Linked DNA regions of Saccharomyces cerevisiae S288C. The protein of the gene in region 2 purifies or fractionates together with the protein of the main gene of each other region. This does not show direct contact. Each region holds a gene or a part of one and is shown on either strand. Other genes may lie near its edges.

Region 1 (5,740 bases), on a different chromosome or scaffold from region 2:
TGGTAGCTTCAAATCCTCGTAAAAGTATTTAGCAGTTTCTGATAATGGCTCGTCCTCGTATTGTAAACCTTGCTCTTTACAAATTTTATAATAGTAAGATCCTGCAACGGGCCCTGCCCTCACTCTATCCATATCTAAATGAAATGCTCGAATTACTAGTTCACCCAAGGCTTCTTTCCATTTGGGAAGTTCGTACTTTGACGATTCATATTTACTATGAGCTAGAGGAATTTTATTCTGAGCAGTTTTCACTGGTGCTTTATTGCTTACATCTAGTGGTTTCGAATTCAGATGTGAGCTTTTTGCTAAAAGCTCTGGCGAATCTTGTGCAGTTTCTTTATTTTGCTTGAAAACACATGTTTGATGCAAATAAGCTCTCGAGTAGTAAAAAGGGGACTTTCTAAGGAAAACAGGGAGTCGACCTGAAGTAAATCTATTGACTGACATCATCAAGTGTTGGAATAGCTGAAGAGATTGTTACGGAGATCATAGTGTTTGCTAAATATTAATCTTACTAATGCGTCAGTCGAGGACCAATTTTGACGTTGTTTTCCTTGCTGGCTATAAATTCAGAAGAACGCCGGGTAAAGCCTAAATACAACTCCAGTCAGACGCCCTGAAATGGGCCAATTTATATACGAGGAATAATGAATGGTGAAGATTAAATAGTAAAAGATATTTCTAATATCTTTCTAAGGCGTATACAGGAAGAGTGATTTGAACTGCAGAGTTGTTTCTAGTTGCGTTCTTCATCCTCTCGTCGTCTTGAAATAAGTTGACATTCAATCTCCTCTAATATACCCTGCACATCAAGATGTGCAGCTTTATCTACTCGTTGAGAACTTATCCCATAGCCTGAAACATGACTAATATGCTTATACCTCTGATGATTTAAAAGCTTCGTAAGAATATCCTCTTGCCTTTTTCTTTTCGTTTCAACTATAAATTCGAGGTCTATCGTCCTCAATTGTTCGAAATGAAAATTCAAAGGATAAATCAAATTTTGTTGCTTTTTGAGAAGTGCTCTTTCACATTCTCCAAGGTGAGCTACGTCTTTTAAAATCGCTTCCAAAACGAGATCATTCTTTGTCCTTGATAGTTTTTTGGAAATTTTCTCCATGTTGGAAAAATGTTGGCCGTTGGATGTACAAGTTGTCTCAATTCTTTTCAGTTCAGGAAACGTGAACTCGTTATTTTTCAAAAGTTTGTGATTTTTTTTGAAGGTTTCATCACATTCAATACGCCTTTTAATTTTGAACTGTTGCTTGTATGATACTTCAATACGGTCCATTTTGGATGTCAAAGCTTTCTTCAATTGTCCCTCATTTTCTCTTAAATCATCCAACCTATCTACTAACATATGTATATCTTCTATATCGTTGAAGAAAGCCCATTGATGATGAGAGAGTAGGAGCTTTTCTGGAGTTTCTGATATAATTTTTTTGTCTATGAATGCCGGAATAGTTGGCCTCATTAAGATACCGTTTGAATTAATTATCATGAAATTCTCACCTTGAGCAATTTGATAGTAAGACCCGTCTGTCGACCTAAATATTGAAAAGACTTCTTTTGTCGCGTAGGCAGTACCTTTTGCTTTAGCTAACAACTCCCATTTTTTCAAAGATTCGACGTCGACATCTAAGCAAAAGTTTATATCCGCTTCAGAGGGTCCTTGAACCCACAAAAAACAGCAGTTGTAAAGTTCCTCATTTTTTTCACTGATGGCTGATGACGATCCATTTGAGTCCATCCAATAATATCGATTTCCATTTCTATCTTTACCCAAAATCTCTAGTCTCTTGATATCGCTCTGAATCAATTTTGCCTCTAGGAAGGCGATATCTTCCATTAAGTATGCAATTTTCACTTTAAGGGCATTGACCTTACCTTTACATTCATCTGATCCATATCGGTTCATTGAAACGTTGCTGTGAAGCTTCACGCGATTTTTGGTTAACGTTTTTAGTTGCCGTTTCAATTTGATATACTCTTTTTTTGCACTATCCAACTTTAAGCGGATTCCATTGCACAGTTTTGGTACTTTATCTACCAACTCCTTAATATAACTCGAGAAATTGGACGCAAAATCTACGAGAACCCATAAAACATCAATTTTATCTTTTATAGATAATCTCTTGCGAAAGTTATCCCAGAGCTCATCACCTAAATTTACAAAATTCATGGATAAAGGTAGTATTTTTTTTGTGATACATTTTGCGACATCACTATATGCTATCATATGTGTATTCTGTTGCAAGATTCCAAGGAGACAGATCAACCAATTGCCGTTGCTAAAGTTTTTATTGTGCAAAAGTTTAACCCAGCTAGTATCTCCATAGTTCAAACACTTTTCTATAGCTATATCAATTTCTGTTTTATTTCCTTCCTCCTTTCGCTTTTCTTCAGTCCAATTGTCCATCAGATTACAATTCCAATCAGGTTCATTATCCGTCATCAGACACATTAACGAGCAAACTATATCAATGTAAAGTATATTCACTTTTTCGTACGATTGAAACTCCATATCGTCATTTTTTAGAGGCTTCCCTTTAAAAATGGAATACATTACAAATTCAGTACTTTTATCCGTTATAAATTTCCTCATTTTCTGGTTTCTGGTGAAATTGCTAGGTATTCGTTGACTCTCATCTGCATTAAAGACGTTAGCCTTCTCACGCTGGGATACGTTACTACTGGTCACTTGATTATATATTTCGTTTCTTGGCTTCTCATTTGTGAAACTCCCTTTGCTGTTGTAAGTTTTAAGAAAGTTTATTTTGACATATTCATCTACTAAAGCCTCCGGACTAGTACACTTGATAGTAGTAAGGAACTGATCAAAATTAAAATGTGATAGACCAATAAAACGTCCAAAAAAGCTCAGGAATTGATAAACAACCAATAGTCGTTCCGTTGGAAATTGACTGCACTCTTTGAACCATTTTTGATCGATATTCTTATATTCTAAGGAGCTATCTAAGTAGCTGATATTTTCAAATGGTATCGAAGGCCCAGTGAATGGAAGCTCCTTGTCGTCGACGGTTCCCTTCAAATCATTGTAGGCAAGGGAGTTCACATTATCGTAAATGTGGTCAAATGAGACTGAAATCTCGTCGTCAATTGCTTTTATTTTAGATAGTGACGTTTCCGACGTTTCCGACGTTTCCGACGTTTCCTTCCAGTCAGCAGGTTCAACATCGCTCTCTGGTGGTATAGTAAGAGGAGTGTAAAGCTCGGAAGAAGATGAGTTCATTCTATCCGGCAAATAATCAATCATATTAGGAGAGCATTTAGGGTTTACATCATATCTTTCTATATATTCTTGTTTCACCCTCCATGGTGCGTGCTCCTTATTCGATACTTTTATGAGTATTTCATTAAGAAAACACGCAATTATGAATTTAGAAAAGTGTGATTCTGGCCTTTTAATTTCATTCTGGCCTACAATTAGGGCCGCACCTTTAGATTCTCGATTCAGGCATTCTGTGATTAAATACAGTGACAATTTTGGGGCAGAAATTTCTCCCTTTTCACTTTCCATCATCCCGTTAGATTGAAACACATCCTTGACAAGGAACAACGTGACATTGTTTTCAATAGTTGGTGATTCTACCAAGTTAGGCTCTCCTTCTTTATAGGTAATCAATGCATTTTTTTGGATAGTTTTCAAGCACACCGTATCGCCTATAAAGAAACGGTTACTAAAACGCTGAAATGCGCTTTCTACAAGGTGTCCTACCTTCCTTATCGGACTGAAGTTTGCGAAATTTGCTATAGCCTTCCTTAGTTCTTTTGGTAAAAGATATCTGACCTTTTCACGGTGCTGTTCTTCGCTTTTTAACGCCTTGAAATACGAAAGGCCATCTTTTCCACTAATCTCACAGGTGAATATATCCCTTTTGTAAAAATCTAGCTTTTTTAAATCACTGTCATAATCATTTATACGCTCGCTACTTTCTTTAATCACCCATGGAGTTTCAGAGAAGGAATCAGCAGACTGTCCTATTTCCTTAGGTTGTATTTTCCTTCTGTTAAGCAGAACCATTTTTGCTTTGAATTTAAAGTACGGCTAGAAGAAGAGCCAAACTAGGGATTGCGATTTTTACTGAATGAAAATGATTGTCTCTCTTACTAAGTCTGCTAACATTTATCAGGTTCATAATGTTTACTATTGAAGTGGCGCGTTACAAGAAAACAAGTCATCCCATATTGAAATGACAACAAATAGAAAAATACACATAATTCCATATCGCTAAATCACACTATCATATACAAAATGGACCAAAGTAAACAAATGTCGATTCATGCAAGTATTGTTACATATCTTGTCACTTTCTCTTCCAAAAGTTGAGGATAGCTGTAAAGGTGCATTTGCTAAACTCTCAGAAACTGCTGGTCCTAAACAATATCAAAACAAATATCAGATAGGTAAGCTTAGATTATTTTAAGGACATGTGAGCCATAGTGCAGATACTCGTACTACTGTTGTAAATATTTCTGTAATTTCAAAGTTGAGATTATCTAGATGAAGTTTTTTTTTTGTTATCGCCTAAGTTTAATGTCCGTACAAATGAAAAATTTTCAAGGCGATGAGCTGAAGTGAAGCTTCAAAATTAAGGAAAGTATTTGCGCTGTTAAGGTAAAAATATCACATAATAGTAGCCTTTAATCAGCCATCTGAGTTATCTGAAACGATGGAGCAGTCTAATAAACAGCACCGTAAGGCGAAGGAGAAGAATACAGCAAAAAAGAAGCTCCATACGCAGGGTCATAATGCAAAGGCCTTTGCCGTGGCAGCCCCAGGTAAGATGGCGAGAACTATGCAAAGGTCAAGTGATGTGAACGAAAGAAAACTGCATGTTCCTATGGTTGATCGTACCCCTGAAGATGATCCGCCTCCATTTATCGTCGCTGTCGTGGGTCCACCTGGAACAGGAAAGACTACTTTGATTCGGTCCCTCGTCAGGAGAATGACAAAAAGCACTTTGAATGATATTCAAGGTCCTATTACTGTTGTCTCTGGTAAACATAGAAGACTAACTTTTTTGGAGTGCCCTGCGGACGATCTGAATGCGATGATTGATATTGCTAAGATTGCCGACTTGGTTCTTTTACTAATTGACGGTAATTTCGGTTTTGAAATGGAAACAATGGAATTCTTAAATATTGCTCAACATCACGGTATGCCAAGAGTACTTGGTGTAGCTACACATCTTGATCTGTTTAAATCTCAGTCAACTTTGAGAGCTTCTAAGAAAAGATTAAAGCACAGATTCTGGACGGAAGTTTATCAAGGTGCAAAATTATTTTACCTATCTGGTGTGATTAATGGAAGGTATCCTGATAGAGAGATTTTAAACCTTTCACGATTTATATCTGTTATGAAATTCAGACCATTAAAATGGAGGAACGAACATCCCTATATGTTGGCTGACAGATTCACAGATTTAACTCATCCGGAATTAATAGAGACTCAAGGACTGCAAATCGACCGCAAAGTCGCTATCTATGGTTATTTGCACGGTACTCCTTTGCCTTCTGCTCCGGGCACTAGGGTGCATATTGCTGGTGTTGGTGATTTCTCAGTAGCACAAATTGAAAAATTACCAGATCCATGTCCCACACCTTTTTACCAACAGAAACTGGATGATTTTGAACGTGAAAAAATGAAAGAAGAGGCAAAGGCTAACGGAGAAATTACAACTGCCTCTACGACAAGAAGACGTAAAAGGTTAGATGA
Region 2 (4,308 bases):
TTTTCATCAGCAAATGTGAGGCTATGCCATTATTTGCGAATGCTATGAACCTACTGCGTTGCATTCTCCAAGGTTCCCGCTGGGTGGGTCGCCACTAACTCTTCCGTGTGGCCGTCTATTGCTGATGCATTCAAACCATAGTCACCTGCGATAGGGTTAGTTGTGTAAGAGGTAAAACAGTGACCAGGTGTTAATTCTTCCCAGTTCATCAACAAGCTTGCTGAACCATTGCTCATTATAGTTGTTATACTGCAGGAATATTTCATCTCGATATCTACTTCTTCCAGAAAAGAATTTTTTAAACAATAATAGACCTCGAATCGCTTCAATTTTTTGAACTTTTCCACCTTTAGCATCTAACTTGGTTCTTTAATTACGATAATTCAGGATATGCGCAAGCCACCTACAGATTATAGAAGCAGTCGAGTACGAATCACTGTGACCGTCATCCTAGATAAATAGTATAGCTTGATGAAGAGTACTGAACCAACAAGTACGAGCTTCTATGGCCAAGTTGGTAAGGCGCCACACTAGTAATGTGGAGATCATCGGTTCAAATCCGATTGGAAGCAATTTTTTTCTTCGGCACGTCATACACCTTGTAATGAGTGTACTAATTCTCTCTTCAAAAAGATCATTGTATGTTTTATGTTTTGTCTGGAAAAACATATAGTACGGATATTTTTGAAAAACTTTGAAATAATATGTAAATTATGTAAAAAAATTAAAGAACCATTATAAAAGAATATTACCAAAAATGTAACAGATGACATTTTTATTGTTTTGAGTTTGTTTTAAATTTGAAATTGTTCAGTGAATTGTTCGCCCTTGGCGAAAAAGAGGTGTCCATATTGGTATTTGTATTATGAGCTGGTCGTTGGTTTTGTTGCTTATAAACTTCGCTAGCATATTTCAAAAAATGATAGTGATCATCACCATAAGGTTGAGGGAAAGTGGGAGGAGCAGGCGCGATTGGTGAAGAGGGGACGTTGTAGTGTCTTGGAGACTGGTACTGAGAAGGAACTGGGTGAATGTGGTCGTAAGTATAGTTTAGCTGCCGCTGTGGCGACGAGAGCTGGTTTGGTGGGGGTAAAGAGTATCTTTGCTGTGGTATATAGATATTTCCCGGATATGAATACCGGTGACCGTGGGTGTTGTAGAAGGATGCTAGGTTTGACAAAATTTGCACCGTTGGATCTCTTGGCCCTATTGGAGAAGAAGTTTGAGAGGTGTATGTGGACGACTTTTGCCTTTTGCTGTTTTTTTTAATGAAGTTCTTGTCATTTGAGGAAAGGCCCAAGTTTTCTACAAATGAGTCGAATGAGGGCAAGGCGTCCTCAATAACAAGTTTCTGCGCTTTGGAATGGGACATGGAAGTAGATCTTTGTCTTGGCCTGGGTCTGGGCTTCTGCCTAGGTCTTGCCACTGCAGTAGACGTAAAATTGGTACTTGTATTAGCAGCAGCAGTAGCAGCAGTAGCAGCACCTGCACCAGTGGTAGAACTAGCAAATGTAACGTTTTGATGAGCCAAATACCACGATTCGCAATCTTTGGGGAAATCTGGACCAAAAATAGGCACCAGAAAGTATCTGATCGGAAAACAAAACCGCAGGCATAGCAACCTTGAGATTTCCATCGGCAACCAAGTACCCTGAATTTTGATGTAACCACCTCTTATTCTTTTCGTAAAATTTGCCGGATTTAAGTTGGGCAAGTCTATTTGGTCAGGACCAAGTTCATTGATCAGGAAGTCTTTGTAAGACTGGCAAATAAGGTCCCGCAGTTCGGGCTTGATGTTGTTCCAATGAAAATCGATGTAATTGTTTGCCTGCGTTGAAGAAGTAGATGAAGAAGACGCATTGGCGTCCAAGAAGGTAGACCCTGTGGATGTCCGTCTCTTTGGCGGCGAAGAGGTGGAGGACGACAACAGTACGCTTGAAGATTCCTCAGAAGTGAACGAACTGTGATTGTAAAAGCAAAAAGATAGAATTTTCTCGAATTCAGCCTTGCAAAAGAACTGCTGTTGGCTAGTGGAAACGCTGTCACCTCTGGGCAAGTTTATAAGCCCCTTCATAACATCCTGATACAGCCGCCAGATGCCCGTCATGAACACATAGCCGGAGTCATGCGACCATATTACGCAGTTGTTAGGGTTGATGAGCTTGTCATTGATCAGATTATGGTCCATTTTGGTCAACTTGAACTGCTGATTCTTTGTCAGCGAGGAGGTGGCATTTTCACGCGATGCTGTTGACAGAGCCTTCTTTTCTTGCTTGGTGGGTGATGCTGAGACTGGTGTTTTGTTAGACCGGGAAGGTAGTATGATCTTACCCATCAGAATATTTTTATCGTGCAGATGCAAGGCGGAGTGAGGAGTGGCGGAGCTAGCGAGCTGCGATAGCAACGTTTGTTCGTGGACTAGGCTCTGAATTGTTTGTAGGTTGGGAAACTGGTACTCGAAGCAGTTCAGAACGTTCTGCGCCGCCGCCTCTTCCCCGTTCCCTGCGTCCCGAGCACTGATAATGAAGTTTGGATGTGTGAACTGCGCAGCAATGGAGGATTTATAGTTAACCTTTCTAATATTGAGTCCGGCGCTGAAACTGGCCGGCGGCGAGTCCCTATCCAGTACGCTGACGAGGTAGAGACGCTGATAGTCGTCCAGGGGGTTGTCCGTTAAGTGTACCGTGTCACTGTTAATGCTAAAAGCGGGATATTTCATGTTGGAGAAGGTGTCTATGATAAGGTATTTTGAGCTTGCCGTTGTGTGGGGAGAAGAACTGGATGCGTACCGAGAACGAGCAAGTTAAAACACTAGTACACGAATAATAGATATATATATGTATGTATATATATGTTGAAGTGTGTACACACGTACACGCACAAGCTACAGACGCCACGCGGCCCGGCATTCATATATGTACATACATTTATGCACATATATATATATATATATATGTATATGTAAATGTATATATACAGCTTGTGATTTCGCGCGCCGAATGGGCTGAAAAGCACAGTATAGTGGAGAAGAAGAGAGAGGAGAAGGGGAGAGGGGCAATAGCAATGGATGTGGTAGAATACAGGGAAGGCCAAGCTGTTGTTCAATGGATGCGGTTCGAGGCCCAGCGCAAGGGGGGCGCTTCGAAGCATAGAACATTATCCGCGGAAACGGGTATTAGGGGTGAGGGTGAATAAGGAAAGTCAGGGAAATCGGGCCAGAGTAACACCCATTCATAGCACTCGTACAAGGTGCTTTTAACTTGCCTGCATGTGTGGAGTCACAAATTAGGGGACTCAGGCACAGAAGCAAGGGTCCTTTTTTGGTTCCCTGTTTCCTCCTGCGCATTTCGTATTTTTTCTCATCTCTTGGCTCTGGATCCGTTATCTGTTCTGTTACACAAGAAATCGTACATTTACAATATAGTGATAATCGTGGACTAGAGCAAGATTTCAAATAAGTAACAGCAGCAAAATGGCAAGACAAAAGATGTTTTATAACAAATTACTCGGCATGCTCAGCGTAGGATTCGGGTTTGCTTGGGCGCTCGAGAACATTACTATATACGAATTTGACTTTGGCAAGGGCATTCTCGATCAAAGCTACGGCGGTGTATTTTCAAACAACGGCCCTTCGCAAGTGCAGCTGCGGGATGCAGTCTTGATGAATGGGACAGTGGTATACGATTCAAACGGCGCTTGGGACAGTAGTGCGCTGGAGGAATGGCTCCAGGGACAGAAAAAAGTTTCCATCGAAAAAATATTTGAAAATATTGGGCCCAGCGCCGTGTATCCGTCTATTTCGCCTGGGGTCGTGATTGCGTCACCATCGCAAACGCATCCAGACTACTTCTACCAATGGATAAGGGACAGCGCGTTGACGATAAACAGTATTGTCTCTCATTCTGCGGGCCCGGCAATAGAGACGTTATTGCAGTACCTGAACGTTTCATTCCACTTGCAAAGAAGCAACAACACATTGGGCGCTGGCATTGGTTACACTAACGATACAGTGGCTTTGGGAGACCCTAAGTGGAACGTCGACAACACGGCTTTCACGGAAGATTGGGGTCGTCCTCAAAACGATGGGCCTGCTCTTCGAAGCATTGCCATCTTAAAAATCATCGACTACATCAAGCAATCTGGCACTGATCTGGGGGCCAAGTACCCATTCCAGTCCACCGCAGATATCTTTGATGATATTGTACGTTGGGACCTGAGGTTCATTATTGACCACTGGAATTCTTCCGGATTTGATCTATGGGAGGAAGTCAATGGCATGCATTTCTTTACTTTACTGGTACAACTGTC

The links.
Region 1: the proteins of XBP1 (region 2) and YPL216W purify together in Saccharomyces cerevisiae (affinity purification with mass spectrometry, with the first as the bait; one large-scale study listed by BioGRID). This does not show direct contact.

What each region holds. Positions count from the first base shown.
Region 1 is NC_001148.4:142,126-147,865, reverse strand, and holds YPL216W (uncharacterized protein), read right to left. Parts: upstream 4,046-5,740; coding exon 737-4,045; downstream 1-736. Other genes in the region: CBP3 (Cbp3p), read right to left, coding at 1-450; GTPase BMS1, read left to right, coding at 4,695-5,740. UniProt on the Saccharomyces cerevisiae protein: May be required for the activity of an ISWI chromatin-remodeling complex.
Region 2 is NC_001141.2:174,532-178,839, forward strand, and holds XBP1 (Xbp1p), read right to left. Parts: upstream 2,720-4,308; coding exon 776-2,719; downstream 1-775. Other genes in the region: YIL102C (uncharacterized protein), read right to left, coding at 51-356; SGA1 (glucan 1,4-alpha-glucosidase), read left to right, coding at 3,473-4,308. UniProt on the Saccharomyces cerevisiae protein: Transcriptional repressor which binds to the consensus sequence 5'-GCCTCGA[G/A]G[C/A]-3'. Represses CLN1 transcription.